Linked DNA regions of Alligator mississippiensis. The protein of the gene in region 1 interacts with the protein of each later gene in a biochemical or structural test. Links are inferred from orthologs where the notes say so. Each region holds a gene or a part of one and is shown on either strand. Other genes may lie near its edges. The genes, in order: CASK, SDC2, ATP2B4 and CFTR.

Region 1 (7,454 bases):
CCACTGCTGCTGCCACCACCACCACACCACACACCTAGATCCAGCCTAGGGCACAGGGTCAGTTTTACACCCATGTTAGCCATTAGTAAAGCCAGAGGACTTCAGTGCACTTTTAGTTCTGACAATATTCCTTCAACATGAATATACCACAGTGCAATGAAGTAAAATGATAAATATTAATAAATAAGGCGTTCTGAGAGAAAGACATCAGGGTAGGCAACTTTAATGAAAGCAGTCTCTAGTGTACGTCTGGATCATCACAGACAGTCTAACATGTCAGCATTACACGACTACCAAAAATATGAATCTTATAGCCCCACCAAGTCAAAGTCAGATACAAGCCAAAACTAGATAGTCATGTGGCAAGGATCAGAAGAAAATTATACTGAACACAGAAACCACGATTTGGTCTTCTGGGCGAGTACTGGAAGTGTCTATTCAGTATTAGAAGGGCATGAGAATTACTTTAAGCTTAAAATATACTATGTCTCAACATAAACAGACTGCAGACAATAAGCTTTGAATACCTTTCAGTGACACTTAGAATGGTAAAACTCTTCACTTCCTTCAACTTTTTTGCAACTGGCAAGTGGCCAGAATTAATGTTTTAAACACAAAATGTACCAGATGTAATTATCTATTAATTCTGAATCCAGTACTTTGCCTTACCGAAAATAAAAGCATTTAAATGTTTTTGTAGTAATCTGCCTTCTAACATCCCAAGTGAGTTGCTTTTAGGTAAACCTCTGAAGTCTGAATCAAAGGAGTTATTTATTCTTTACCTCATGGCCAATTCCCTTAACATTTAATGTTTGTGAAGGCTAGCATGCCCCCACCCCAATTATTTACTCTTGGGCAAGCACATGCGAGAAGGGATGTGGATGTGAACAAGTTATGTCAAGAATCCAAAATTTTACCCAGAACTTGCAAAGTAAATTTACTCGAGCAATGCTTGCATCCTAAAGGACACCACTGATTGTTTTTTAAGCTTTGCTGCCTTTAACTTAAGAAGGAAATTATATTGTCCTGATTACTCGTCCGTGTGAGGCTTGTTTTATTATTAAGGAAAAAAGGTGTGTATTAGTGTATGCAAATAAAAGTCACTCACCACCACTTTCCTGATGATATATTCATAATAGTACATCTATTCCCCAATTTTGACACTCCTTTCCTCCCATGCCCAAAAAAAGAAAAAGAAACCCTGCTAACAGAACTTCAACTTGTGCAATGCTCCTTAACTGCCTGACTTTTTACCATCACAGCCACCATTTCAACTAGTTCATTCTTACCAAATTATAATGCAACAAGCTAAAAAGCAATTAACATTTTGTTCAGATAAAATAACCCTGCCAGTCTTAGCAGCTCATTAAAATTTTTTTAAAAGATTTAGAAAGAGACTAACACAGCAAGCTGTACAGTCAAGTGTCAACTAGAAGACTGACTCCAAAGGAGGTCTGCGTTCCCAAGCCAACAGAAAAGAAATTTAGGAATTTACCTTTTCAAAACCTATTCAACATCTACAAAGGACATGCAAAAAAACATTTTGTTACAGTTCTCCCTTCCATAGCTTTCCTGAAACCACCTGTTTTTCTACGTAAGATGGCAGTGGTAGCCACTTACTCAGTAAAGATAAATTACACACATTTTAAATATTTCATGCCTCTGAAATGCAAATCAAGGCCAGGTGTGCTGTTTCCAAGAGCTAAATTACTGTATCAATCAGTAATAAGTCACAGGAATGGGCAGACATTTAGTTGATGTTTTACTGAAAGGTGTTTAGCAAGATGCATATGTAGCAATTCGGAGCAGATTTACACTGCCCTTTCACAGGCTTCTCCAAGACGGAAAAGCTTCACAGACTTGAGGTATTAACAAAACAAGAAGCTCCATCTATGGTCCTTAACACGTAACTCCAGGGTATTATTCAAGTGACAAGAATACTGATGCAAATAATTAAGCTATTTATTTATTAACATGTTCTTTAAGGGGAATGACATGACATCTTCCTGATCCTCACAGAAGAACCTGGCTATACAATCCTGACTAGTTAGCAGCAACGACAATGTCACAGGTTAGGATATCTAACTGCCCACTCTATTCCTCTGGCACAATTTTAACAATTTCTGACAATTTTAACCTATTTACATCACAAAGAACTTTGTCTACTACATACACAATTAAAAAATGCCAAAATATTTATTTTGAAGTTTTGTAGATACTTAGCACTTAACTCTGGCCCCTTTTCCTTAGTATTCACACAAAGTGAGAATCATTTTAAAAATGTCACAAGATTTGCAACAATCCCCTTTGCACAACTCATCTCTGGAAAGTGCCCACATTAAGATTAGGCATATCCACTAGGCCTCCCTTTTAATTGGCCCTAACCCTACTCAAATAAAATATACAAAAGTACTAAAAATTCACACTCATGCAATTTTCATGGGGGGGGGGGAAGGGTGCAGCTCAACACCGGATCATCTGAAATTGCTCTGCATGCTGGTAATACCAAAGTTGCCATCCAATTTCCTAACCCCAGAAGCTTTTCTTCTCTTGATCAGCTTTAAATGACATCCACGACTATTAGTGGTCCTTCTGCCAAACGAGTCCCTTCAAGCTTTATGACCGAGAAGACATCTGTAGGAAACGGCAGGTGACATTCAGGATGGGTGCATGCCTTGTGCCATAACGAAAAAAACGAGAAGTATCAAAACACGGGCGAATGTGACATTAAGGACACGGTCACTCCATGAGTCTTAGACTGACATACTGGCATAATCCCCAGGGAAGATGTGCTCAAGAAAAAAAAAAAAAAAAAAAGCCTGTTTTAGTTCCAGCTTTCCAAGGAGCCGGCAATTCTCAGAACATTTCAGGTCTGCTGAGGTTGGGGGGGGGGGGGAAGAAGGGGGGGAAAACAGACACACACACACAAACCTGTTTAAACCAAGGTGGTATTGCAAAGTGTCCCTCCTCAAAAGATCCGTCAGCAAAAAATAGTGCATGCCACAGTGACTGCCCAAGCCTCTATTCAGCCCTCAGCTGTCTCCAAACCAAAGAGACACTGGAAAGCGGCATCCCACTGCTACTGCTGCCTCACGACCCAGCAAGACTAGGAGGGCAAAAGCCAGGACAGCTGTGGCTGCCCCCAGGGGGACCTGGCTGGCTTCTCACACTTCCCTCAGCTTGAGGAGAAGAGACCAGGGACCCTCCAGCCATAGCTGGGCTGAGAGCAGCCGTTGCATAAGGAGCCCGAGGAGGCTCCGGCAGCGGGGGAGGGAGAGGGCTGCGCCGAGCCCGAGCGGCCCTTACCTGAGCGCCAACGCGGGCATGCTGCAGCCGGGCGGGGCCGCGGGGAGGCAGGCTGCTGCCCTGCCCCGGCGGCGCTGGGATGCGAGGGAGCGGCAGAGCAGCTGCTGCAGGGGCCGGGGGGCATCGGGGTCACCCCCTCCCCCGCCGCGTTACATAAAGCGGTTACACACCCGCGCGCGCGCACACACCCGCGCACAGGTGGGCGCCAGCGAGCAGAGCATCCCATCCCCGCCCCGCCCCGCCCCGCCCCGCACTCACTTGCCGATCACCTCGCACAGCTCGTACACGTCCTCGAACAGCACGTCGTCGTCGGCCATGGTCCCACCGCGCCCCGCGGGGGGGAGGGGGAGGTGCCCCCCGCGGCCCCGCCGGGCTCCCCGCTCCAGCCGCGCCCGCGCTGCGGCTCCGCCTTCCCTCCGCCCCTCCCCCCGCGGCGGCCCCGGCTGCTGCTGCCGCTGCTGCTCCGGCCGCGGCGGCGGCTCCTCCCCGGCGGCGGCTGGCGGGGCGGGAGGAGGCAGCGCCGTCTGGCTGCGCGCGCCGCTCGCGCACGGTACGGGGAGGGAGGGGAGGAAGGGGCGCGCGCCGACACCCGTCACGCAACCCCCGCCGGCGCGCGCATCCTACGCACGCATTCGGGGCTGCTCCGAGCAGCCCGCCCACTCCACACACGCACGCAAGCTCGCCTCGCCGCCCCGCCCCGCCCTCCGCACGCAGAGCCACGCCCACTGACCGTAAGAGAGCGCGGGGGAAAAGCCGGAGTGCGCAGGCGTAGGGTTGTGTGACGTCATCCGGGGTGGGGTGGCTGCTTCCCTCGTGAGGCCCCCGCCGGGGAGGAAGGCGGCCTCTCCCCCCCTGCGGGGAGCCCCGCGTGCAGACAAAGGGCAGGGAGGATGTGGATGATGCCCCCGAGTAATGTTGCAGTCCCTGTCCTTGTCCTGCCGGCTCTTTTCCCGCTGCAGCCCGAGAAGCAGGCTCCACCTCAGCCTCTGTCCCTCCTCTCTCTGTGAGCGTGCAGTGTCGTCTCTCGAAGTAAGGAAAACCGAGCCCGCCGCTGGAAAGAGAAGAAAAGCAAAGTCCCGGGGGCCTCTTGTTTCGGCGAGGCAGCTGAACGGCTCTGGTTCTCGCTGTCCCGCCGAGCGGGGCTGTGTCCGCAGTCGCTTCGTTTGCAAAATGTGCAGCCCCTGGTCTGGCCCTGTTCTGGCACCTGCGGAAGGACGGGCAGGAAAAAAAGGCTAGGGCAGCGGTTCCCGATCTGTGGTACAGGCAGCACCAGTGGTATGCAGACAATCTGTCGATGGTGTGCGTGAACCGATTTATTATCATTACTTCATATGACAAAAATTGGCTGGGGGCACTTAGGGTTAAGCTGAAACACTTGCTGGTGGTACTTAAGGTCGCATTGTTTTAAATTGGTGGTGCGCAATCTGTCATTGGGAACCGCTGGGCTAGGTGGTGCCAGCGGATGCTTGCCTGGTATTGGCAAAAAGCCGATGGCAGAAGGAAAGGGAAGCTGTGCCCCTGGAGGGGTACGCAGAGGCTCTTATCCAGGAAAAATGTTTTTCTGTTTTCATTTTGTCAAGTTAATTGCATTCAAAAATAACTTCGGCGCACAAGGGATGGTTAAAACTCATTAACAGCAAAGGCTATGCTGTCTTCCCACACGTCAAAGAGAGCCCAACTAAGAAGTGTCCCATAAGGTGTTCTAACAGTTTCTACACCTGTGATTCTCAACTAAGGCGCTGTGGCACCCTGGGGTGCCTGGAGAGCCTGTCAAGGGTGCTATGCAAAGTTTGTAATGTTGAATGTGCAAACTGATTCACAAGATAAACCCAGAGGTTTCAAGCCAGAATCCGTAGCATCAAACACACTGGGACCTGTTGCGGGCCTTCTGAGTTCTCTACAGCAGAAAAACCACTCTTATTAAACCCCAAGTGAAAGAGGCTAAGAGAATATGATTGTTGATCTACACTCGGGTCTCTCTTTATGCAAATTCATTTTGTGCAAATTCACTTATATGCAATGACCTTAATTTATACCTTTAATTTGCTTTGTGCAAGAAAAATCCAATCTTATGCGAAGTTGCCCAGAAACTAGTTCCCTGCCAGCTGGCAGAGTTCCAGCTGGCAGGGAGCTGGGAGGAAGAAGAAGGGAGGTGACAAGACAGGGGACACCATGTGCATGCACAAGTACATGCACATGGCCCCAAGTAGCCTCGAGGGCAGCTCTGGCAGGTAACGGGGGGAAGAGGGGGATTGAGGTCCCTGTAGGGAGGGAGCTGGGCAGGCCTGGGGCTGCTGTCCAGCCAGCGGGTACATGGGGTCTAGAGCTGCAGTGCGCAGCTGCAGGGCCCAAGAAGAGAGCAGGATGGACCCTCCAGTGGCTTCTCGGTAGCTCCCCGCTGCCGCACACACTTCCAAGGGGAAGAGGAAGGGGCAGATGCATGGGTGCAGTGGGCCCTGGCCCTAATCCTGGGCCCAGCTCGGCTCCTCTCCCTGCCTGGTCCCAACACCTGCATCCCGCTGCCAAAGAGCAGCAGGCACAGGAGGCATGTCCCCAGGGCAGCGCAGGATGAGCAGCTGCCATTCCCTGATGGCCTGCTTCCCTGCCCCAGGTACCTCTCCAGCCTGGTGGATGTGACCCAGTGAGGCTGCACAGAGAGGCTACAAGCTCCCTGCTGCACTGGGTCACACCTGCTAGGCTGTGGAGGCACCCAGGGTAGGGAAACAGGGAACAGTGGGGCCGCACAGAGAAGGTGCTCACCCCGTGCTGCTTTGGCAATGCACCTGCTCCACAAGCTGCTGCTTGCTTCTCAGGGCAAGCACCTTCTCTGTGCGGCCCCACAGTTCCCTGCTTCCCTGCCCTGGGTGCCTCCACAGCCCAGCAGGTGTAACCCGGTGCAGCAGGGAGCTTGTACTCCCTCCTGCTGTTCCCAGCTGCATTGAGTTGTGCCCACGAGGCTGGAGAGGCACCTGGGGAAGGGAAGCAGGGTGGAGCCAGGCACGGCGAGCAGCTGGCATTCTCTGCCACCCTGCTTCCCTCCCCTGGGTGCCTCTCTAGCCTGCCCTGCGCTGCCCCCTGCGTGTGCTCACAGCCTCTCCACGCAGCAGCTATTGTATTGTGTGATTACTGTTTGAATTTGTCATGGTTTGGGGGGTCAGTAGAGTGCGGCTGGTACATATCCCTATTAATTACATGTAATAATGGATTCGCTTTTTGCAAATTTGCTTTATGCAAGGATTTTTTTGGAATGCAACCCTCGCATAAAGAGAGACCCGAGTGTATTAGCAGAGCAGCATTAGTAGCAGATCCTGACAGAGAATGAATTTGTCTGCCTGTCTGTGGTTTTGATCTTGGATGTCATGCCCAACTTGGGGGGAAGTCATACTTTGTTTTCTGGCAGCAGACTGATATTTTTCACCACAGCATCCAACAGACCTTGCTAGATTTTGCCAACCATAAGGGGCCTAGGCCTAATTTTAAATTTTCAGGTTGAATCTCTGCAGCATTTCTAGAACCCAATAAAATTTATTCCGTAACTGCCTAAAATGTAAGCAGTGAAGACTTTCAGCGTGTCCCTTTCTGGAATGGTTTACTTATAAGGATGGTAGCCTTTTGACCTCACTGGGACATTTAGGTGCAAGAAGGAATGCAGTCTCCTCTTTCTCTGCCAGTTTTTTTCCAGAGCCTCATTTATTTGTTTTGGATTCTCTAATTTTTCTCACTGCATCTCACAAATCCATCTTCTCACTCACCACCTATGTTGCTGTGTGGCAGAATAGACTTGGAGCCAAACTCCCAACAAGTCCCAAAGCCCCAACTTAACCATGTGGCCTTGGAAAAACTCACATCTGCCAAACTTGGGAATTTTCCACTACTAGCATGCAGATGATGCCCAAATGCAGTGAAGGTTTCTCAGCACCTCTAAAAGTAAAGAACCGTGTCAAATGAGCACCACAAACTGAAGGCCATGCCCTTGCACCCTCCCCACACGCACACAGCAGAATTAGCATTGGTGTTTCTAGCTGTTAATCTCCCTGACTCACTTTATGTAAGAGATGAAAGTGAGGCTGGGAGATTAACAGCCAGAAACACAAATGCTCAATTTTGCTCTGCGTGCATGTGTGTGGACATATATGTGCCAGCACATG
Region 2 (7,852 bases), on another chromosome or scaffold:
ATCTACAAGCTGCTTTTTTTTCAGTACATGGAAGAAAGTTTCTAAAGCAGAAGTCCCTGATCTTCCCTGGTCCATGAGCAACAGTGATGAAGGAACATGCTCTGTGCAACATTGTACTTTGGTCTCTGTGAATTTCCATTTAAAAACTTTTAAATTTTCTATGTCTGCAAGCAACTTCACACAGTCTCACAGGCAACATGCTGCCCAGGAGTCATGGGTTGGGGACCACTTCAGAAAGAATATGCCAAATATTTCTGTCAACCCAATAGCCAGGCTTTGAGTATGCATTGCTAAACCAGCTTGCATACTTTGCATCTTAAATTTACATGGCTCTCATTTCTTATTTCTACACTACAATAAGTCAGCTGAGCCTTAAAATGATTAACCTGCCACATTAAGCAAACAGAATAAACTCATTTGTTCTTGCTTTAAAAAACACATGTTCAATTTACCTCCAGAAAAAGGAAACGGAATGATGGAAGATTCTTTTCTGTCGCCTCATCTAACTTAAAAAGAAAGAGCTACCATCAGAACTAGACAGGGGAAAAAGAAATTAGACATAAAGCTACTTCACAGCCCCCCTGGGAGCTGGCAAACTTTTAAACATTCATAAAAAGTCCTCTTACTTCCCTCACTTTAAGGATTATATTCTGTAGAAATTTACATTTTTACAGTATTCTCCAATGTTTTTCTAAAGACAGTTAACAAGGACAGTGCATAGCTGCAGCCAGACTCTACAACCATTTTCTCCCTTTCCTTGTACAATCTCTTCACAACTTTCCTGTGCTGTGCTAAAAGACAGGCGTGTGCTTTTCAGACACCTCAGTCTGCACTTCCAGCACCAGTACATTCTAACAAACTGGCCTCATGGCTTACAGTTCAAGAACACATGAGTCCTGAACAGAAAACTTAATACTATACTAATTGCTGTGGCACTTTAATGGTTGCCACTCCATCCAAGCACTTCACAATAAAGGCACCTCTAGAAGCAATTAGAGCTGTAAAATTAAAGTTAAAATATACTGTACCTCATTAACTAAAGACTGCTGTTAGAACTACCTGAATTCAGTTCTATACATAAGTAGTCTCCATACTACAAACTAATGCCAGTAGCTACTGTTTTAAAAGTGATGTTAAGAAAAAAATTAACAGTTGTCACCTTTAAAAAAGCTACTTCCATAAAAGGTTTTTATTAAAAGTTGCCTAATCCCAAAGGAAATTCTTTAGCTGAGTACTTTCAAAAAGCTATTGATTTAGTGACATCATTTAGCTTATTGGGAGAACATCTCATTTTAATTGGATTTAATTTTCATGATAACTTAAATGTCATATAAAAATAATGGACTTTATTAAAACCTTAAAATACCATAAGGGCAACCGTGTATTTCCATACTTCCTTCCCTCTCTCGAGAATCTTAAAGCTCTATTCAACGATTAATTTTAAAAGCCTAAAACACTATTGTAGGGAGAGAAAAAGTGGGACAGAAAGGTTAAGTGATTCTGCCGGAACGCGAGTTACCACGAGTTAAATTTTATTAAGCAGGGGCAATAAATATGCTTGTGGTTTGAGCAAGCTCCAACAGCAGCTTTGTAGGGAGCATCTCAGACAAAAACATCTGTACCGCGTTATCAGAGCAGGAGTCATCCTTAAGCCTTTCCATGTTTGGAGGAGGCTTCACTTGCATGTTTCTCATAGAAGACCTCTTGTTTCCCCTGCCTGTGATTTCAGATACAAGCTTGCCTGGAATGTTTCTCAAGGATAAACAGTCAGTCGGGGCCAGGAAGCCCTTGATTATTATTATTTTTCGGTGTCTAAGTAGTACAAGAAGCTCAAATTCCCCCAAAGTTCAGCAAAAGCGTCTCAAATAAAATGTTACCAGCCAAGTAAATAAAATGTTAAGAGCCACGAAGCCCGGAGGAATGAGGGTGGAACAGACTTTCCTTAGCCGCTGATTGTTCCTCAGGAGTCCTGATGCAAGTGTTACACTGGGGGGAGGCCGAAAAAAGCTGCAGAGAGAGCACGGCAGAGCCCTGCGGGAACGGCTCCTCTGCTCTCCACATTGCACCGCCTCAACACAAATCAAGAGCCAGGCTGCAGCTCGGCTCGAGAGAGGAGCAGGGAGGGGGGGGATGCGGCTCCAACTTGGGAAAGCCCCGAAGTCGTCGGGCAGCTCCCGCCGCCCAGCAGCGCTCTGGGGGCGCGGGGCCGGGCGGAGACGGCAACACGGAGGCGGCATGGAGACCGGACCAGTGCCCCCCGCCTCCGGTCACGTAGCTGAGAAGCCCACGGCTCGGTGGAAAACAATGCAGGGGGCAGGACACCGACGGCACGAGGGCTCTAGCTGGGACCCCCTCCCGAGCCCCGCACATCCCCGAGGCGATGGACCAGCCCGGCCCGGGGCCCCGCCCGGGCAGCCGCGTGTGCGCAAGGGGAGCCGGGGGGACCCTCGGCCCGAGCATCCAAGGAGGCGCCGAGGGCGGGCTCCGCCCGTGTCCGGGCCCGGGCCCGGGCCAGTCCCCGTCCCCGTCCCCCCGGGCTGGGCGCTTGTTCCCGGGAAGAGCGTCACCAGCCCCAGCGCTCCCGCTCCGCCGCCCGGCCTCGCCCCTCGCTGCGGAGGCTCAACAGGTGGGAAGGGGCCGCCGGGGAAGCGGCGTGACTCCGAGCCGGGCCGGGCCGGGGTTTCACCCGGGGCACCCCGCCCTCCTCCCCCCGGCCCCGACTCACCGCCTCCCCGCACACGCAGGCCACCAAGCCGAGGGGCAGCAGGATCCACGCGCTCCGCATTATTCCTGGGCTGCGGGCGAGGCAGCGGCTGCTTCAGGCAAGGCAAAAAAAACAACAACAAAAAACAAAACCCGGCTCCAAGTGCTCCCCTGCGGCTTCGCCCTGACCAGATCCCACAGCCGAGCAGCGGGGGCTCCCGGCGGCGCTGGGCTGGGCTGGGCTCGGCTCGGCTCGGCTCGGCTCCCTCCCGCCCGCGGCCGCCTCTGGCGCCGCCGCTCCTCACTTGTTGGCTGCAGGAATCCCACCAGCTCCAGGGCGGAGTTGGCTGCTTGGGGGGAGGAGGGGGGTGTTTCTCTCTCCTTCCCTCCCACCCGGGCTGATGTTCCCGTCCTCTCCGCCGGGGAACCCGAGTCCGGGCGAGGGGAGTTGCCAGCGGCCGCCCCGCCTGCCCCCTCTCCCCTGCGCCCGGAGCTCCCGTTCGAGCCGGGCTCGCAGCGCAGACTGGCAGCTCCTGCAGCCAGTGAAGGAGCCGGCCTCCCCCGCCGCCCGCTCGCGGCCCCGCAACTTTTCCACCCCCACCGCCCACATGGCAAACACTGGCAACGCGACCGCGAAAGCCTGCCTCCGGCCCGGAGAACTTGGAGCCGGAGAGAAAAACAAAATAGAACTGGGAAAGTCTCCGGCTTTGCCTCCCTCCCTCTCACTCTACCGGATTCAGCCTCCGCCTCTCCCAGCCGTGTCTGGAGCTAATCTCTTGCAAGCCTCTTACCTGGTGCCCACGCGTGTCAGCGCCGGCCCCGCGCAGCTGCCGCCTCCAGCTGTTCCGCCCCAGGACTTCAAAAAAGATCTCCTTTTTCAACATCATTGTTTCAGCTCTTCTTCTTTGCCTTCCATCCCTGCCTTTCCAGGTCAGCTTGGCAGCTGGGGGTTGTTCACCATGGCCTCCAAGACTGAAGACTTGTTTTAAAAGCAAAAGAAAGCAGAAATTCTCGTGTCCTCATGTGAATGCTGGAGCTGGGGTTTCTGAACAATGTGCAGAACAACAACAGGAACTCATGTAGCAGGAGTCAGCAACAAGAATGTGTCCTTTGAGTGTATCCAAAGGATGCCAGACATGGGGTGTACGGAAGCAAAAACTGGGAAGGCAGAGTGTAGCCTCCTTTCTCCAAAGGGGCTTGTGTGGCTTCAATTCAGCAAGGTTACATTCTGTGACCTGTGTTATGCTGGAGGTCCATTTAGTTCATCAGAATGGTCCCTTCTAGCTTTAAAAATCCTGAATGTATAAAGACCCACTGTGGTAGGGAAAAAAGATGTGAGATTCCCTTTGATGTGCTTTCCCCAAGTCCTGGATCCCCTTTTTTCCTGCCCCATGAATGGATTGAGTAGTGTAGCCCTCTAGGACCGTGGGTTGTTTTGGCAGGAGATGGGCTACTCCCCAGCCCCCAATCTGAGCACCCAAGTTTATGCAGAAATCCTGCCCCATGGCCTTGTAGCTTCCCACACGACCCACCATCAGCAAGGCTGCTCTACACAAAAGTTAACATCATACATAATATCTTACCCCATCCCATACCTTTCTGACCTTACTTTCTCACCCATGAGCCTTCAGGGGGGCCTCCCTGGAATCAAAAGACAGAGAAATATCACTGCTGCATTGTAAATCCAGTTCACACAGGAAAGGGGAGCCATTTTTGGCATGTTCACTTTGTGCATGAGCTAAACCAGGGGCAGGCAATTATTTTGGGCAGAGGGCCGCTTACCAAGTTTCGGCAGGCTGTTGAGGGCCGCATTTCCCTCTCCGGTGCAGGGAAGCAGGAACAGCCCCATGGTACCTGGCTAGAAGCCTCTGCTAGGCAGGTGTTTCTGGTTGAGGGGGCAGGGCTGGGCAGACCTTGCTGCTGGATCCTGCTACCAGCTTCCTCTGGGTCCTACTGCCCCTGGCTCCTGTCATTTTTGACAGGCAGCTAGCAGCAAATAAATAGTAATTTGCTAATTTTCTTATGGGTCCCACGGGCCAGATAGAATGGCCTAGCAGGCTGGATCTGGCCCCCGGGCCATATTTTGCCCACCCCTGAGCTAAACTGAGGAGACTGATGTCCCCCAGCAGCAATCCTACTTATTGTTTAAATATTGATCTGGGGGATAGAGCCGCAAGTCATCATTTTTACATGGCACTTCCCAATTAAATGAATCCAACTGCTTTGGCATATTTGTTAGTTGTTCAGTGGGGAGTTATTCCTAGAAACAGATTGCTTAATATACTCCTTGATCCTGCATGTCATGTGCATGGGCAACTGCTAGATCTGCATGTTTCTATATGGACAGAGGAGTCCATTCATGCAGAGGTTTGGCTGGATTGCTGTTCAGCTAACCAGTAATTTTACCACCTAATAGGGGGGTTATTTACAATGAAGAAAGCAAGACTGAGCCACAAACTGTTCTAGAGGGAACAAGGCTATCTCCATCAGCCCTGAAAGCTCCAGTTTGTACAAATATCCTACTCCATGGCCTTGTCACTTCCTCAAATCCTGAAAGCTTATCACCATAGGCACAACTCTACCTCTGTGCAGAGAGCCCCATGAACATCAGCATCCATCTGTACTGATCAACAGCTTGTTGGACTGAGAACTCAGCACTTGCCCAAGGTCAGAGCCATCTTTCAAACTCAGAACAAGTATTTGGCTGGTTCCCCCATAATGACTATACAGTGTGCTCAAAACAATAAAATCAAATGATATCAAAATTGACAAAAAATGAAAGAGACTGACAAGAAAGGAAAGCTGAGTGCAAGAAGTCCCCTAAGGAATCTGAATAGTGTGAAAAAAAACATGGCTGGAGGTGTTATTCTGGTGGAAATATTTTAGCTCTCAGGTGTTTATTGGGAATATGTTTTCAACAAATAAACAGAGCTTGCATTGACCATATTTCACAGCGTATAGGTCAATACAATGTATAGGTAGACCCCTGACTTTCCGATGTGAAAGGTAAGGACTTTCATCGGTATGGTGTATGAGTCAGGGTCAGGCTTGCAGCTCGCAGGGGATGGGGCCGCACCAGCCAAGAGCCAAGCCCATCCCCTGCAAACGGCACCAAGCCCGGGGCTGCTCACAGAGGATGGGGATGAGGATGGAGATAGGGATGAGGAGGGGGAGGGGGATAAGGCTGGGCTCAGTGCTCAGCTGTGTGGCCCCATCCCCTGCAAACGGTGCTGCTGGTGCTGCTCACAGGGAATGATGCCACCCCAGCCGAGTGCCAAGCCCAGCCCCATTCCCATCCCCATCCCCTGTGAGCGGTGCCAGGCCTGGTGCCTCTTGCAGGGGATGAGGCTGCACCAGCTGAACACTGAGTCCAGCTCCATCTCCTGTGAGCAGAGTCAGGCTCAGCATTCAGCAGTGTTGCTCACAGCAGACAAGGCCAGGCTTGGCGCTCAGCTGGCACAGCCCTATCCTCTGCAAGCCTGTGCCACTGATGGGGTTTGGCTCAATGGGGCTTGGCACTCAGCTGGCGTAACCTCATCCCCTGCAAGGGGCACCGGCAGCACCGCTTCTAGGGAATGGGGCTGTACCAGTTGAGTGCCAAGCCAAGCTGAGCCCCATCCCTGATTTTTTGATGTGGCATGGTGTATGTCAAATTTGATTTTAATTGAAAATTTGACACAAAAATTGGGCTTCAAAACTTGACTTATACACTGTGAAATATGGTATATTTTTGTAACAACCCCTGCTTATCAGGGATTTACCTACAGAGCTCTAAAATCCAGTCCAGGCCAAAACCTGCTGTAGATGTTAAGCTCTGACCCTCAAGGAAATTCCTCATAAGTAGATCCCAACACTCAGTAGGGCTCCTCATGGAACCCAGCTGTCCACAAGGTAGCTACTGTCCCAGAAGGAGGTGTGAACATCTAACTCCTGCTTCTTACAAGAGGGCCCTAACAACATACCACCAAGTCCTTTGCAAGCTTGGGGTCTAACACTTGGAAACAATGCCACCAAACCTGCAAACACTTATTCATATTTTTTACTTCTCACTTAATGCTAAATACATGCTTTGACTTCTGAAGAACTGAGACTGAAGGACGCAAGCACAGCATGAATATTTTTATTGTAAGTTTAAACAGGTAAAAGTGAATAGAAAAAAAGAAAGAAAATAAATAGTCCTTTCATGTCACAGGAATAACAAAAGTATATGTCCTGGGATCCACTTGCAGCTTCCCAGCATGCCTAATGGAGTCCACCCCAGAGCTTGATATTACAGTAGGAACAGTCACATGTGTGGCCCCCACTCCACAACAGCTGTGCTGTATTATTGCAGCCAATTGTGCAAGCACCTGCTTCTCTTGTCGCCCTGATTTTATAGGAAGAGAGGCCAGAGGGAGGCCCAGCACAAAGCAGAAAGAAAGTGTTTTTCACCCAAAGCAAGTATGTAATAAGAACTACAATGGGAGAGTAATCAGAGACCAAAAACTTGACAGAGCAGCCAAGAAAAAACTGCCTGGGTACACTTATGATCCATGCTGTCAGTCATTAATCAGTGTATTGCCTTTATGTCAAAAGTTTGACCACTTCTCTATCAGGCCCAGTCTATAATATCAAAATGCCAGTGTCTGACAATGGTCAAACTAGATTGTTATAATATAGTTTGGATGGTCAGGATGGAAAAGTTCAAACCATGTTAAAGACTAATTTTTAAAAATGTGCTTTGAATCAGGGAGACAAAAGCATGGTATTTTAACCCTGATTATGACTACTGAGAAGCCCAAACTGGACCCCATCTATATACCAAGCTAGGAACATTCAGCTCTGGGTACTTCTTGAAAACTATACCTTTGGATTTGGGGAAAGTTTGGCTCTAGACCCTGGATTCATGGCTTGAGCCAGGCAAAATATGATACAACCTAATGTATGTAGCTGCACACCTATGTGTACCAAGCTAACACAGAGGCCCGGTACAGACATTACACACAAACTGGTAAAAATGACCAAAAACCAGTCTAAACCCATAACAGTACAGAAGTTCAGCACGCATAGACTCATTTAAAAATGTCAAAACCTGGTCTAAAATAGACCTGGATGGATGTAGTATCAAACTTAAATTATTTGGGTTAGACCAGCCTATCAAACTTCTGTA
Region 3 (7,506 bases), on another chromosome or scaffold:
GCATCAAGCTGGTGCCGCACCCCATGTGGGGGCAGCTGGGCTGGGGGATTGCAGTACATGTGGCAAGAGCTGTGTGAACCTCCCACATGGAGAAGGCTGGACCCCACCGAGGCAGGCAGGGGCAACGGAACAGAAATGATTCCACGAGCTTCACGACACGAGCCCTCGGCCACCCATGGAAGGGAAGCACTCTCCTTAGGATGGGGAAACTGAGGCACAGACCTGAAGTGACTCAGGATAATAAATTGGGGCGGGGAGGGGTCCTCCTGTGCTCAGAGGACAGGGGGTTTGGTTCCTGAGGAGGGAGGGTGACCCACAGGATTGGTGCTTTCCATGTCTCCTACATGCAGTGCTCCACATGCAATGAGGGTGGATGGGGACTGCCAAGCTTCCTGCCAGGATCTGGAGAGTGGGAGACTGAGCTGCTCCTTGACCAGGCCCAGGAAAGCCCCTGCCTTGCTCCTCCCCAGCGCTGGCTGAGCAGGGGTGGGAACCTAGGGACCTTAAGCTGCTTGACTGGCATCTTGATTGAATATTTTCAACTCACCCCATGTGGCCAAAGATGCTCCACACTAGGTCACAAGTCACTTGACCCAAGACCGGTGTTCATGGCTTGGCTGGGATGTTGCGTGTTGGGTTGGGGAGGCAGCCAACTACTGCGCCTGATCTCTCAGCCATGACAGAGCATGGCACCCTCCAGCCCAGGGGTTTGGCTGGCCAGAGGTCGCTGCAGGATCAGGGCTGCCCAGTTCCAAAGAGCGATGCTGCCATAGAGAAAAAACCACACTTCACCAGGCTCGGGGAGAAGAGCCCTGCCAGGCATTTCTGCCTCCTCTGGCTTCCCCTTTGATCCAAGCTCCCGGAGCAGAACGGAGAGCTCCATGCCTGTCCCCTGCTATGGCATTGGAAGGCAGCTGGGCATGTACCCTCCTTCCCCACCCTGAGTGTATGATGAATCTCTGCCCCCATTGAACAAATGGGACTCAGGGCCTCTGCAGCCCCCCCAGTCCCATGACACTGGAGCGGCATCACATGCAGTGCCCCTTGCACTGTGCTCCTCTGTGCAGCATTTATTCTGCAGGGTCACAAGACCATGCGAGTGGGTGGCCTTGTGACCCACAACGTGCAGCTGGCCGGGCAGCATGGGGGCTCAGACTGGCATTGCCTTCCTGACCCAGAGCCCAGGGGTTCCTGCTGCCACACCTGCCGCAGGATTCAGCTTGTCTTTCCCTCCACTGCCAGCTGGCTCCCACAGTGGGAAGGGGGCAAAGCCGTTGTGCCAGTTCACTGAAGATGCCCTGTGGTGGAAGGGAGTCGGGTTGGATCAGAGGCCTATCCAGTGTGTCCTGCACTATTTGCCCTATTTCCAAGCCTCAGAGAAAGCAGAGCTCATGTCAGAGCAGCTTCAGGGTATAGGGCACCAAAGGAAGGCAAGGGACTATATGGTATCTTTTTCCCTGCTTTGCCTTTGTCCCGGGTGTCACAGCGGAGGAGTTCATAATCAGGCCCCATGCTACTGCTGTCTGGTCTATTTAACTCTAGAAGGACTCAACAGCAAGGAGCATCCTACTCTGAGGGTGCACATGTACTGCTCACTCTTGTGCTAGGGGAGATTCTGGGTCTTCCCAGGCCCTGTTCTTTTGCCCTGAGAAACAGAGGCAGCTTCTGAATGTTGATGGTGTGTCCTGGTGCAATGGAAACCCAACTGCCAGGAGGTACCTGGTCAGCTGGGATGAGAGGTGCATTTCTAAGCAGATTTGGATTCCTTCAGACTGATCTGGCTTTTCCCAATGACAGCTCATGGCAAAGGGGGCTACAGCTGCTCAGCGCGTCTGAAAACCTCTGGATTCACTTTAGCTCCGCTATAGGCCCAGAGGGTGAGACTCTCCAAATTCAGAAAATCTTTCTAGAAAAGCTGCTGCATTTGGGCAGTGCCCAACATCCCAAACAATCCTGATTACAAATATCTTCTGCCTCCCAGGCCACCACGTGTGGGTTTTGGGGTTTTTTTGTTTGTTTTTTTGAAGTCACAGCTCAACCACCCAGGAAATTGCTGAAAAAGTCACTGTTTTTCCTGTGGGACCTCTGGGTGGGTGAGACTAGATTCTGTTCCCGGAGGCCTCACAAGGAAGATCCAGTCCTGAGGTAAGATCTCTGGGGCTTGTCTGTACCACATCCCTATGGTGCCTAGGGAAGTGTGATCCACAGCAGGCTCTGTGGGCACCTTTACTACTGGGTTTCTGGGTCTGGGGTGTGCCAGCAGGGGTAGGATGGCAGGCTGTTCCCGGGAGCATCCTCTGCCATGCTGGGGTGGTGGTATAGATGCATCCTCAAGCTCAGCGTGCTTCAGTCAATAATAGCATTTCCCTACGGCGCGGAGATGCTGTGAAGATAAATACGCTGAAGACTGAGAGTGCTGAGACACTATATGGTAATAAAAAAAAATAGAGGGAGAGTGCCAGTGGCAGCTTTGACTGGGAAGTCACTGTCTGTTCAGAGCTAGGAAACAAGTAGCTCCTGATTTGGCACTTGACTTGGAGGTAATCCATCCTTAGAGAATCAGCAGGGAAGAAGGACTTTGCCCCTGAAAAAGGAGATCCACCTTTCAAAATACTCAGTTCAAGCATGAAAACAATGCACCTTTAAACCAGACGTGCCAGGGGCACGGGGAGCATTTCCCTTGTTAAAGAAACTGCAACTGGGTGGATTGAAACCGTCATATTAAGACTTTGACTTTGTAAAGGGCTTGTGCTTAGGAACAACCTTATTTGTACACTGCAATAACAAATCCCTGCACCTTTTGGTGTGTGTAAAGTTGCTGGTGGAGAAGTGTTCACAGGATCCGGCCTTGGGTTTTGAAAAACAAATGCTACCCAAACGAGTTGGGGCTTGTCTACACACAGTTTAAATCAGAAATTGCTGAACCCAACAGCAACCAGGTTGGTGGCAGGGGGAGGGTGAGGGGGGTGGTGAGCACTGGAAGGCATTACCTAGAGAAGCTGTTGTGGGATCTCTGTCGCTGGAAGCATTTAAGAGCAGGTTCGACAAACATTTGTGTGGGGGGTGTAGAGAGGGCTGATCCCGTCTGGAGCAAGGGTCAGAGTACAGGTGACTTCCTGAAAGCCCTTCCAGCCCCGTGTCTGTATGAGCCTGTGCAACTTGCACCAGTGTAACTGAACCGATGTGTTCCCCCCACCTCCCTTTAGTCATCTCCATGCAACATGATGTATAGATCCAGGCCTAAGCTTGATAGAAACGTTTCCTTGATCGCTTGTTTGTTTGCTAGGAAGCAGGCCCTCCCCCCACTTTTTTTTTTTCAGTTGCCTTTCTGGGTTTCTTCATGCAAGTAGCTGCTGGCGGTGCAAATTTTCCAAGGCTGGCAGCTTTTCTCAACCCACAGGTTGCGACCCAAAAGTGGGTCACAAGAATATATGAAAGGGTCACAAACAAACTTTTAAAATGGATTCTCCTTTAAATGAGAAAAATGTGAGAAGTTGGGTTTTCACAAGGCACAGTTCCAGCCTACAAGAGGCTGCTTGCAGCCCCCCTTGCCCCACACACTGGGGGGCTGAGGGTTGGGGCCAGGGGTGGGAAGCAGCAGATTGGGAACGAGGGGCACCGGCAGGGTTAGGGAACTGTTTTCTACTTAAACTACGTACTGGGTCGGGACTAACCATCAGTGTTTACAAATGGGTCCTGGTGCAAAAAAGGTTGAGGACCACTGCTGTAGGGCATCCTCAAAGGAAACCAAGGTGAAGCAGGTCAGCCTCCTATCAGTTGCCTGTGCAAAACAATGGGAAAACGTGCCCTTTCAATGTCCTGTGCCCTCACAAGGGCTCCTAAACCCCACACGGGCCCCACCACCACAGCAGGACGGGGGTTCAAACCCTTCCGTGTCTTCTCCCTTGACTCAAACAGACCCTGCTTTGCAGGTCCATGGGGATCTGCTGGGAAAAGCAGGTTTGCACTAGGAGATTGCAAACCCTGGGCAGGAAATGCTGGGGTGGGTTTCTGCCTCAACCTCTCTCTTGAAACACCATTCTCAGAGACAGGGGTGTAGGTTGTGGCCGCCTTGGTCCAAGGACACAGGCAAAGACAAGGTTGTTTGGGTAAATCGGGTCTCTTTTACTGGAGATCAGACTGACTTTTTATTCGACCGACTGAGGGAAAAAAGAGATCAGGTTTACCCGAGGAACCTTGTCTGCCTTCTCTGACACTGGTTTCTTTTCTGCTTGGGTTTGCAAAGGCAGGCATGGAGCAGAAAGCAAGCGGCAGGGGGATTACTGCTGTCTCCCCCTCTCCTCCCGCCCGGGCTCTGCCCCGCGAAGTGCCCGGGAGCTCCCACTCTCCTGCGGCAGAGGCAGCGCGGGCACTTCTGCCTTCCCTTTCTCCCCCTTAAATGCAGCCGCAGCAACAGGGCGAGCGCGAATCCACCTTAAGAGAGCGCCTCCTCCTCCTCCTCCTCCTCCCCGGGATGGGGTGAGCCCAGCCGGGCTAGGAGCGGGGTTGCCATGACAAGCATTTTCTGAGCTCGCCCCGCCACTGCAGCGCTCGCGCGGGCGGAGCAGCCCGGCTCCCTGCGGCCGCGCCCGGCGGGGGACGGGGCGACGACCCGGGGCGGCTCCGCAGCCTCCTGCCCCTGCGCGCCCGGGACCAGCCGGGTCTTGCGCCCTCCTCCCGGCCGCGGCCATGCGGGGCGGGCCGGGCTGCGGGCGGCCGGGCAGGACCAGCTGCAGCCCATGAATTAAGTGCGGGAGCGGCTCCGCCTCTCGGTGTCCCGAGGAAGCCGGCAGTCCAGGACGTGAGTTTTTCCCTGCTGCCCCCTCCTCTGCCCGGGAGCTCCCGCCAGCCCGGCCGGGGCTTCGCGATCGCTTCCCCGGCTATAGTTAGCAGCTGCCTCCGGCTCGGCGCTTGGGACCTGCAGAAACTTCGGCGCCGGGTTTCCCTGGGCTTTGCGGGGGCGTGAGTGCCCCAGCCCCTCCAGCCAAGGGAAACTTTGCCTCCGCTCCCTGCAGCACAGAGGTGGGGGCTTCTCCTTCTCCTCCTTGCCCTTCTTCTTCTCCTTCTCCTCCTTGCCCTTCTTCTTCTCCTTCCCCGCCTTGCCCTTCTTCTTCTTCCTCTCCTTGCTTCCCAGGCTGGGGCCATGGTGGGATCTTCCCCTCGCCAATAACCCCCAGGAACCAGAGCAGCCTGCCTAGGGGTTGTCGGGGTGCTGGGGCTGCGCGGCTGCTAACACAGGGACCTGGTTATGTCGTGGTGGGTGCACAAAGCCGGCTCTGTGTCCCCACCGCTGCCCACCAGCCTGGCTTCCTTTTGGGGGGTGGGATTTTGCTGCCCCAGCAGGGTCTGAGCAGTGCCGGTGTATGAGGAGGGCTGGCCGTCTGTGGGTGGGGGCAGGACGCCTGGCAGGGATGCGGGCGTGTGTGCCGGCTGCTCAAGGGGGCTCTGACTGCAGGGAGAGGGTGGGAGCGTGGTGGAAGGCTGGCACTGGGCGCGGGATCTGTTGCGGCTGCAGCAGGTGGGTGGGACGGGCAGCAGGCTGTTGGAGCGGGCTCAGCCGGAGGGGGAGGCAGGTTGGCAGCTTCAGGTCCCCCTCCCTGCTGTGCTGTGGCTGGGGTAGGGTGCAGGGGCAGAGATGAGGGGCCAGAGTCAGATTCCCTGCAATAGCTGGGGTGCAGTTCATGGCTCTGGGATGAGGCCCTGAAGAGGGGTTTGGGGGGGCGGGAGGGGTTGCAGGCTCTGCTGTCAGCATAGCCAGCTTGTTCTGGCTGAGGCCCGAGATGCACCTGGGTATGAGGAGGCGGGGGTGTCTGTCCGCTGCACTGGATGGAGAGGATACCATCTCTGCAGCTGACTCCGGGCCTCTTGCTGCAGCAGGTGGGTGACCCACCCCCTGCAGCAAGGAGCGGTTCTATCTGCTTCCCCCCCAGCCTCCTGCCAGGTGGGCAGGAAGAAAAGCTCCAGCCTGGGAGAGTCCCATCTGTTGCACTGAGTCTCCTTGGGAGAGCTGCATCCACACACACGCATCTCCCTGCCCTGGCTATGACTTGGTCAGCTTGCCCTTGGAGTGGCAGGGAGATTTCCCTGCTGGCTCGAGCCTCCCTTGTGCCCTGGCTGGCTTGCTCAAAGGCCACAAGGGGTTATCCACAAGTCGCATCTCCTGTTCTGCGTTGTGGTGCGGTGGACCGCTAGGATAAGGCCCCATGGTGGGAGCTGGAACCGTGCCGGTCTCAGCCCAGGCTGCCATCAGCCCATGCTGCACAGCAGCACCATTCAGCATCCGCTCTCTTGCCACCCCCTGCCTGGGAAGGGTTGGAACAGCAGCAGGGTGCGGGCTGCAGGTCGGGATTCGGATGCCGTGTCTGAGCTCTGTGTGGGAGCCCCAGGCGGGAAGCGCCGGGCGTGGCGTCGGGTCTGGCGCGAGGTACGTTTGCCTTTCCAGGGCTGGTGGCCGGAGCAGCAGGTGGGCTGCAGGCGGCAAGCGGGGAGAGGCATCAGCAGGGCATGCTGGGGAGCAGGGGCTACTGCAGGCAGAAATGTGTGTGTGTGTGTGTGTGTGTGTGGCCAGCATTGGGCTAGTGGGGCGTGCGTGGGGTGGGATTGCAGTGCGCTGGCAGTGCCGGCCGGGCCACGCCTGGTGCTGGCTGTCCCTCCCTTCTGCCTGCACCGCTCCAGCCCATCCAATCAGGGTTTAAAAGAAACAAGCCAGGCAGGAGGAAGGGGCGGTGGTGGTGGGGGACCCAATCTAGCTCCAGACAAACGCCCTGGCTCTTCTGACTCCTGCCTGCCCGCTGAGCCCCCTCCCAGGTCCCAAATGCTCTGGAGGCCCGGAGCTTCCCTCCCTCTTGCTGCGCATCTGGTTTGAATCTTGGAGCTCTGTGGGAAGGTGGTTCCTGTTATGCAGCCTGGAGTCAGGCTCCCTGTGTCCAGCCTGGACCCTATCCCCTGCCCTCGGCTTTTCCTTCCTGGGAGGAGATTGCGTAGGCTTGAGGCAGCTCGTAAGGGCTCCGTGCTGGACCCTGCTCGCAGGCCAAGCTCTCTGTACAGCCAAGGCCCGTGCAGAACAGAGAAAAGGAGTGGGAGGTGGTACAATGGGTTATTGTCCTCGTACCTCCGGATCCAGGCTCTGCTCGTAAACAGCATCCGTGATCTGCGTGAGCTGCCTGTCTGCAGTGCAGCCCCCCTGAATGGGTCAGCATGATGGCCAGGCTGCAGGGCTGGGGGCCAGGGGGCAGCCTGGCTGGAATAGACATGTCCGCAGAGCTCCTGACTGGAAGGACTGGTGCAGCACAGAGGGGCATGGGTGGGAGGGTGCGGAGTACAGCGTGGGGGCAAGACGCATCTGTGCAGCACTCCTGGAAGGAGCCTGGTCCCAGTAGATAAGTGGGGCTGTAGGTCTGGCCTGAGGGTGGGAATGGTGTAGGTGCGTTGAGCCGGGGCAACGTGCCACAGGGGTTTGTGCAAGTGGCCTCAGCTCTGCGTGGCTCCTGATGCTGCCCTCAATCT
Region 4 (7,935 bases), on another chromosome or scaffold:
CAAATAAAAGTTTTGGAGCTCCTCCAGTCCCTCAGCAAGAAGAAAACAAAGAAAAAGTATTCTAAACTGTGGCCTGCTTAATGAACTGCATTAGTTTTTGTCAATTCTTTAGGGGCTTTTTGGTGGTAATTTCCTATCACGAAGTACATCTTTAGTCAGAAGGAGAGAAATACCACGCTTTGTGATACTTATATTCAGTATGTATTTGATAACTTTGGAAACTCTTAATACAGTTTCCTTTTCATTTTTAATTTTGAATTCTGGCAAATGAAAGAACAGTAAAGTATATTCAAAGGGAAAGGTTAATTAATTGGAGGCATATTGTCTAGAAATTCTGCCTTGTATAAATAATTACTGAGTAGCAGCAATGTGTTCAGGACATTGCCATCAGTTTTGAAAACATAGATCCCATTTTATTTTATTAATAAATACAACTTATCATATGACAAATTTAATATTATAAAATACATCCAATCCCTTGGAATATACATAAAGACAAATATCTTCCATTAAAAGAGTTCCATTCAAAGTCATTGTCCACAAATGAGACCTGTGTTCTTTTCTTCTCTTCCCATCTTACTTTTAATGTTAGTGGACACACATTGCTATGCAGATCCGAACTATGCTGGAGAATGAGGGAAGTTTATCCTAAGGATTTAGGTTTGTTTTATTTTTTAAAATAATCTGTGAAAGAAAGTAAATTAGCTTATGATTTAGGATTCATTCCTGCAAGTGCTCCTTGAGTAAAAATGCCCCTGTAGCAGTACCAACCCCATACTCCAGTTGTTCTAAACTTTTTTTAGACTCAAGGTATTCTCCATCATTTTTTTTTAATTTAGCAGCACTCAATTTCAAAAACTAACTGTACTCCTTTTTTGACAACAGAAAAAATAATAAAGTGATTATTATGTTGCAAAGAACTCAAAAAGACCACAACCAGTCAACATTTTTTTTAAGCTATGGATTTCTATTTGAAATTTCTGGGTTTATTTTGTGAAACATGTGTAGGTGTTTGCACATCTAGCAGGGCTAGTATTGCATGACACTTTGTGACACCCTTAAAAGAATATCAAGGCACCCCTGGGTGTCACAATACCACAAATGAAAATCACCACCCTAAGCCATTGACATTCTGCTTACACAATTAAATATTTTGTTGGTCCTCTGGAGATGGTCAAATATCAAACAGTGCATGAAGTTCCCATTTATATAATATATATTTAACATGGGTTCCATTCATCAGCTGCAGCAAGGATATGCTAACTTTGATAGACTTTGCAGAAGTATGTTTTAAAGAAGGATTTGAACAAAGAGCGTGCAGGTGTCTTTTGCACTAGAGGTGAGGAAGGTTTTTTTAAAGTTGGAGTTGAAGTATGAAAGAAGGCAAAAGGTGAAAACAGGGAGAGAGAAGTGAGAAAAAAGGTGTTGGCAGAGTGAAAAAAATGGGAATAGAAGTGAAGGGAGTTGGTGTCATAAAAGTCTGAAAGGAGATCATGGAAAAACTTCCTTTGTTCAAGAAAGCCAATGGAGGGATTCAGAGGTGGAAGTTCTAAGGTGAGGATGGATCCTGAGGAAAATGATTTTTAGCTCTGGAAGAGAAAGGTGAAAGCCAAGGGGGTATGTGGAAGGTGAAGGCAGGGAGACTTAAGTAGGTAGAACTGAGAACAAGACTTAGCCCTGGATATTAAAACAACGGGATGGAATTTTCTTAGACTATGAAGAAAAAATAGTTGGTAGTGGTGTGATATGTTGATATGGAAGAAGGCAGCCACAAAACTAAAAATGAGATTGCAAGCCTGAAACCAGGCCAGAAGTGACCCAGTTTTCCAAAACTAAGCCAACGACATGGTTGAACCATTACTGCCCGCAACCTAACCAGGACTTTAAAAGCAGCTGAAAACTCTATTGTTCTAGTGTTTCTGGTGTCCTGTTACAATTAAGCAAGCTGAATTGATACCTTCACTAGTCCTCACTCACTCTTCCAGATCAAGCCATTGCCATCCACATCATGATATAATGCTAATAAATATGTACATAATCATACCTTTCTAATTTTTCAGAAAGATTATCTGCAGAGTCTGCGGAGGGGATCTGATAAATGTCTGACAATTCCAATCGCTGTCTGTAACCCTTTTTCAAAATTGGGTTTGTCCACCTAAACAAAAGAAGATTTATTACTACATTCCAAGATTCGTTTTGGAGGGACGTTAGCTATTTAGGTCATATCCAGCACTGCATATATAATTCACTATGCAACAGAGCATTACAAAATAAACCATAAAATGACACTTTGTTAACCAAGAATGTAGCTTTTGAATACTTTGGTATGTAGGTAAGGATAACATTAGTAGAACAGCATTGGATTTCTTAAATTGGATTATTTTATGCATGACTCTTACACAAACATTCCCCCAAAAAATCACTAGGAGTAGAGTGAGCAGTAGACTGGGCCTTTGGAGTTCTATTTTCAAGAATGTGTAGTCTCTGTGCTAATGAATATTACATAAAAATGTTGTTACATTAGAAACAGAAGTTAATCTTACAAGTAAGGAAATTTAACTTATTGTTTATATGCATAACTGTTCACTTGGCAATAGACACTGAAAATTATGTGTGATCTTTTGCAAGATCAAGGCATAATGGATGTGCCAATGATAGCTTTTATCCATTATTAAACATTTTCAATTTTTTTTTAACTTTAATACAGGCCTTAAAAAGTACATTTTTAGCACAATGTTCAGGTTAAATAATAATCTCCATTAATGTTAGTGGAAACTACTATGACAGATAGCCATACTTTCAAGGAATAACTGAGTTATAATTTTTGGACACTTAAAATGTAAGAAAGATTTTGGACCTAATCTCATTCCTATTGATATTGGTTCCAAAATATCTATCAACTCACAGAAAAAAAACCAAGAAGATAATCTTAACTAGCTGCCCTATACGAGTAACACTCGTAGCTGATTCATTACAGTCATTAGTAACTGTAATGAATCAGCTATTGATTTCATGGTACTCCTTACATGCATTATAGTGCACACTACTTGAAATGAATCCCCAAGGGATCCTGTTCAAATTTTTCATCATATTTTATTAATAAGGTCATTTGAAAACATAAGATTAAGAAAAATGCAATTAACAAGCATCTTTAAGATACATAGTAAAGTACATACAGTAGTAGAAGTACCATTTTGGAGATGCCTAAGGTTACAGTGAAAATAAGCTTTACTTTCATTGTTAAATATAATCGTTTTCTACAAAATAATTAAGTAGATAACTGTAAGAAGTAGGTTGCAAGTAATCGCTGCATGCATTTTTATGTGTCTGTCCATCTGTCACAAAAATACATTTTATGATTACAATTAAAGTGATGAACAGAAAATCCTAGCCCACAAATTTGAAGCCATCCAAAAGAGAAAAGACTTACAAGATATGTTTCCTAAAAGAGACAGTCTGCAATGAAGGGCCAAACAAAACTTTAAGGAATATATTAAGAGGGTCATTTCAAGGCTAGAAGTTGTTTATTGGAGGTTATTTTTAGTGTAAATGTCACTCTGTGTGTCTATAAATGTGTATTATATAAAGAAAATTAACCTGATTCTTGATTTATATTAAGGCCACGTTATATTCTTCTGGCAGCATAAAGGACGTAAGTAAGTATAAAAGTAATATTATGCATGTCATACAGAGGCCTCTCTGTAAATGAGGTGCATAATGCATGTGTATGACTCTTAATGTTCATGTGTGTACACACATAATCTAACATTACAAATATTTTAAAAGATTATAATCATGTGAATAATAAATCAATAATCCTGCTAATTTAGTCTATTAAGCATTTGGGGAAATGAGATGTATTCCAAGTGGATAATTATGCTTAAGCATTTTTTTGGAGAATTTTTTTAAGCAATAAAAGGATTTTCTTTCACTTCTGCAACCACAGAAATCCTCTGTTTCAGATAAATTGTTTGGTCTCAGCTCAGTCTTTAGCTGCAGTTTACATGAAAAAGTGCACACAGTTCATAATATGTCACGGTAAAACCAATGATCAGAATATGCTTTTGAAAGTGGCAAGGGGAAAACTGTTCAGGCTGTTCATGAACTCTTTTGCTGCTGAAGTTAGGGAACAGTGATATCAGAGATACATTTCTAATTCTTGTGAATGCCTTCATATTTAAAATAACTCAAAATCTTGTTAGGTAAAAATCCTGGGTGGTCACCTCGAAGGATGAGCTAGGTCATGTACAGGATGACAGAAAGGAACTGTGTACATGGCTTGTGCAAACACTACTAATCCCTTGTCCTTTGGGAAAAAAAACACACTTGCCAATTTGTTTCATAAAAGAAACTGCAGTACATTCAGAAAATTTGGCAATCATGAAATGAATAAAACTGAGGGAATACTACATGACTACTGCAAGTAAGCTAAGATAGTTCTGAAGAGCGCCTCCCCCCTCCGCCCCCCTCCCCACTTCATTCCAAAGTATTGTTGTTTAATAAGGGTGACTGCCCTTGACAGGTACCTTGTAAGCCCATGCATAATGCTCTGAAACTATACTAAACAATTCTTAATCTATCTTGAGACAAGGAAAAAAAAGATTTACAGTTTCATACCCCCTATATTTTGGGAAAACAGTCTCTACTACATTGTTTCTTTCTACATTTTTTTTATTTGCATTTTTGATTAGCATCTAACTGGGCATTTTGCCACAGCCTGAAGAAACAAAATTTACTGTGCTTGAAGCAGAGAAGTTGTTAGGAAGGGAGCATAAGTAAGTCAGGTCTACTGTACTCATGGGAATGTGGTCTGAGTAGCTGATCAACTACAACTCTTTGCCCATCCCCTCACCTTATCCTAAACTGGGTGTATTTTGCCTTACCCTAATTACTGGGTAAGCACCTCCTGTTCTACCTTAAGAATGGATTCGATTCAGCCCTGCATCCACAAGAGTTGCAGTATTCCCACCCATGGAGATAGTTACAGTCAAGGGTGATTCACTGCTATGAGCAGGGAAGCAATGATGCCATCTTCCTCCAGGAATTCCCTCCAGGCTCTTCTAAACTGCAGTCAGGATTTCAAAAGTTGAGTCTACACAGAGGCGTATGTACTTCCAGGGTGACCTGGCATTGCTCTGCATCCCCAGCTTTGTGGGCTAACTTGCAGGCTGCATCAGCTGACTTCAGATCTCTAGGAGACAGTTTGCGTCATGGCGCCCCCTTTAAGATAGATTTTCAGAAAATGCTTGGGAAAGTGCTGTCAGAAAGAATATCAGGCTTTGTATACTTTCAAAATAGCTTGCACCAGCTAGAAGGCTATATAAATAACCCATCATCATAATTTTAGGGCCAGATTCACCATTATACTCGGGGGGGGGGAAGGAGGGGGGATTTTCACTCCTCTCTGTAAAGTGAATATAAACCTAGTTTAACTGGCCATATATATCAGGCTTATTAAAAGTTTGCACTGCCTTAGAACAATGGCACCAAAGATTTTCAGTGAATCTGGCCTTTAACATTCTGAACTCGTTAGGAATACCAGCATTAATTCCTCATTTCTGGTTCTCATTTCTCTTGTCATGGCAAAATCTCTTTTGACACAAAGAAAGCAAGGATAAAGATAAACAGATTGGCTTTAAAGTATTACGTTAACAAATGCCACCGGATTACTGGCTGGCATTTAATGAACTCTTTCACAGGGAAACCTGTAGTGCTGTCAGAGTCTTGCCACTAACTAGGGATGTTATTATGGGCATATATATGTGAAACCCAGCAGGGAATGAGTTTCAAGGGTGTACTGTGGGTGAGAAGAAAAGAAAGAAAACAAGTTCCACCTCTTTGATTGATTGCCTGGTAACAAAGTACACACTATTGGAAAGATACAAAGGTACCATATACATGACACATTGTTTTAACTTCTGTTTGTTTGTTTCTTTTCTTTTTCCTTTCATTTTCCCTCCCTTTTGTAATCTATAACACATACCTACTGTAGCAGTTTGGTTTTCTAATTTGCACAGCCACACAGGCAAACTCGAACCTACTGGGCAACTTCACTTGCTTCTCTGATGGGCACCACCTTGTCTTTGTCATTTCTGTATTCTTGGCCCTGCTTAAGGCTGCTGTGCATCCTTCCAATATCAAAAAGCAGCTTCAGACTTGGCATATTTCACTAAATGGAATTTCCTCCGGCACAGGGGAATTCCCAGTACCACAGATACAGCTAGTTTCCTGCCTCCAGCAATCCTGAAGTAGACATGCTGGTACAGAAATCTGAATCTCCAAAGCACTACTTTTTGCTCTGGACCAGGGAAGCTCAACCTCCAGCCCACAGGCCAGAGCCTTGGCATCTAGCCTGCAGGACTCCCCATGTGTTGGATAAGTTGGCAGTGGGGGAGCAGTGGCAGCTAATACCCCCACCCTCACTGCAAAAATCCCAAATCCTGCACAGTGAGTCACAGATGGGCCATGACCCTCACCCAGGATGGCTCGATCAGGCCCAGGTCATGCTCCCTTCCCCCACACAGCTAGATCAGAGCTGGGCTGCCCCCTGCCCTCCTCTGCATAGCTAGATGGGGCCCTGTCACACTTGCCTTAGGTGCCACCACCTGGATCTGGCCCGCAGAGGGACTGGGCACTGCCCATCTGTCCTGCTGGACAAGCCAGTTGAGTACCACTGCCCCATTGCAACAATTTGGGTGTGACCTGTGCTACAAGGTATGCAGAGGAGCTGCCTGAATGAGCAAACCAGATGACCAATGACACAGCCATCATATGAAACCAGCTCTATAAACTGGTACAAAATGAAACCTACCTTCACTGCCTTCTCTTTTGGGTATCAAATATGTCTATAGGCACTAGCTAGGACCAATGCCTTCCCTCCCTAAGGAAAGTGTGTCTGCGTGCCCACCTTGAGACTGGCACAAGCATGTCCTGAAATGATCTGTTGTGTCTGGCACTGCAAACTTCTAAGTGCCCCCAGTACTTTTGGACTTAAGAGGTTCAAAACACTTAGGGACAGCATGTGTATTTGAGAAATTATTGAAGGATTTGGGGTTCAGGAACTAGATTAGACTCCTTCTATCAAAGACAGTCATCCCTGTTGGTAGAAGAAAGTAGAAACCACACACAGGTTTCTTTTTAATCACTTGTGGTAACTCCCCTTCAGGTATAACTTGAGGTGTGTAGGTAGTGTTTGCACCATCTATCCTCCCTGTAATAGACAGGCAAAGATAAATTCAGTCATCCATAAAGAAATTATGTGTCACCAGCCAACAGCACCAGCTTTCTGGAATTGTTTTCAGTACTTCAGGTGCTGCAGCAAAGTAAGATCTTATTATGGGTTTGATTATGTTTCATCCCCTCTTCCTGTGAATGTCCTATCAAACAAGGTTCTTCACTTGCTATAACTTTCAAACATTCTATGTTACTGAAAATTCAGTTTTCAGAAGATTCATTTTTAAAAGAACATGAAGCTAGCTATTAGCTCTGCTGAGGGCCAGCAACAGTCAGCTGCTGAAACATACAGCAATTTAAAAATACTGACCACAAAAGAAAGTGCTTCACTATTGCATATTAAATAACCCCATGTCAAACAATAAATTAACCTCACTTCCCACTATCTTTGCTCTACGAAACAGGATTTATAAAGTATAAGACAGAATTGTTTCCTAAATTTATCTGCAACAGTACTAAGTAATAAGATTTGCTAGATTTTTAAAACATTAAAGAACGTGAGAGGCACGATTTTTGTGGGTGATTTGTTAGGGGATTTGGGGTAAATTTGGGATAATTTGAGGGAATATCACAGCACCCTTACTCTTTTTTTTTTGGTAATCACTCACTCTGCTGTGCCTGCTTCTCTCCCAGAAGGAAGATTACTCTGATACCTAAAATTATGTTTCAATGTGTCCCAACCATGCACTTGGTTCAATAAAA

Evidence for each region.
Region 2: the proteins of CASK (region 1) and SDC2 form a complex in vitro, tested with the Homo sapiens proteins (2 studies listed by BioGRID and IntAct, with this or other methods). The link is inferred for Alligator mississippiensis from reciprocal best matches to the Homo sapiens genes CASK and SDC2.
Region 3: the proteins of CASK (region 1) and ATP2B4 form a complex in vitro, tested with the Homo sapiens proteins (2 studies listed by BioGRID and IntAct, with this or other methods). The link is inferred for Alligator mississippiensis from reciprocal best matches to the Homo sapiens genes CASK and ATP2B4.
Region 4: the proteins of CASK (region 1) and CFTR interact in a test that uses a peptide from one of them, tested with the Homo sapiens proteins (2 studies listed by IntAct, with this or other methods). The link is inferred for Alligator mississippiensis from reciprocal best matches to the Homo sapiens genes CASK and CFTR.

Annotation. Positions count from the first base shown.
Region 1 is NC_081824.1:303,752,728-303,760,181, reverse strand, and holds the start of CASK (peripheral plasma membrane protein CASK), read right to left. Parts: upstream 3,015-7,454; 5' UTR 3,000-3,014; coding exon 2,932-2,999; intron 1-2,931. UniProt on the Homo sapiens protein: Multidomain scaffolding Mg(2+)-independent protein kinase that catalyzes the phosphotransfer from ATP to proteins such as NRXN1, and plays a role in synaptic transmembrane protein anchoring and ion channel trafficking.
Region 2 is NC_081826.1:41,881,304-41,889,155, forward strand, and holds the start of SDC2 (syndecan-2), read right to left. Parts: upstream 3,003-7,852; 5' UTR 2,786-3,002; coding exon 2,726-2,785; intron 1-2,725. UniProt on the Homo sapiens protein: Cell surface proteoglycan which regulates dendritic arbor morphogenesis.
Region 3 is NC_081837.1:39,477,870-39,485,375, forward strand, and holds the start of ATP2B4 (plasma membrane calcium-transporting ATPase 4), read left to right. Parts: upstream 1-4,502; 5' UTR 4,503-4,801; intron 4,802-4,810; exon of another isoform or gene 4,811-5,022; intron 5,023-7,506. UniProt on the Homo sapiens protein: Calcium/calmodulin-regulated and magnesium-dependent enzyme that catalyzes the hydrolysis of ATP coupled with the transport of calcium out of the cell. By regulating sperm cell calcium homeostasis, may play a role in sperm motility.
Region 4 is NC_081827.1:48,757,061-48,764,995, forward strand, and holds the start of CFTR (cystic fibrosis transmembrane conductance regulator), read right to left. Parts: upstream 3,015-7,935; coding exon 2,949-3,014; intron 2,212-2,948; coding exon 2,045-2,211; intron 1-2,044. UniProt on the Homo sapiens protein: Epithelial ion channel that plays an important role in the regulation of epithelial ion and water transport and fluid homeostasis. Mediates the transport of chloride ions across the cell membrane.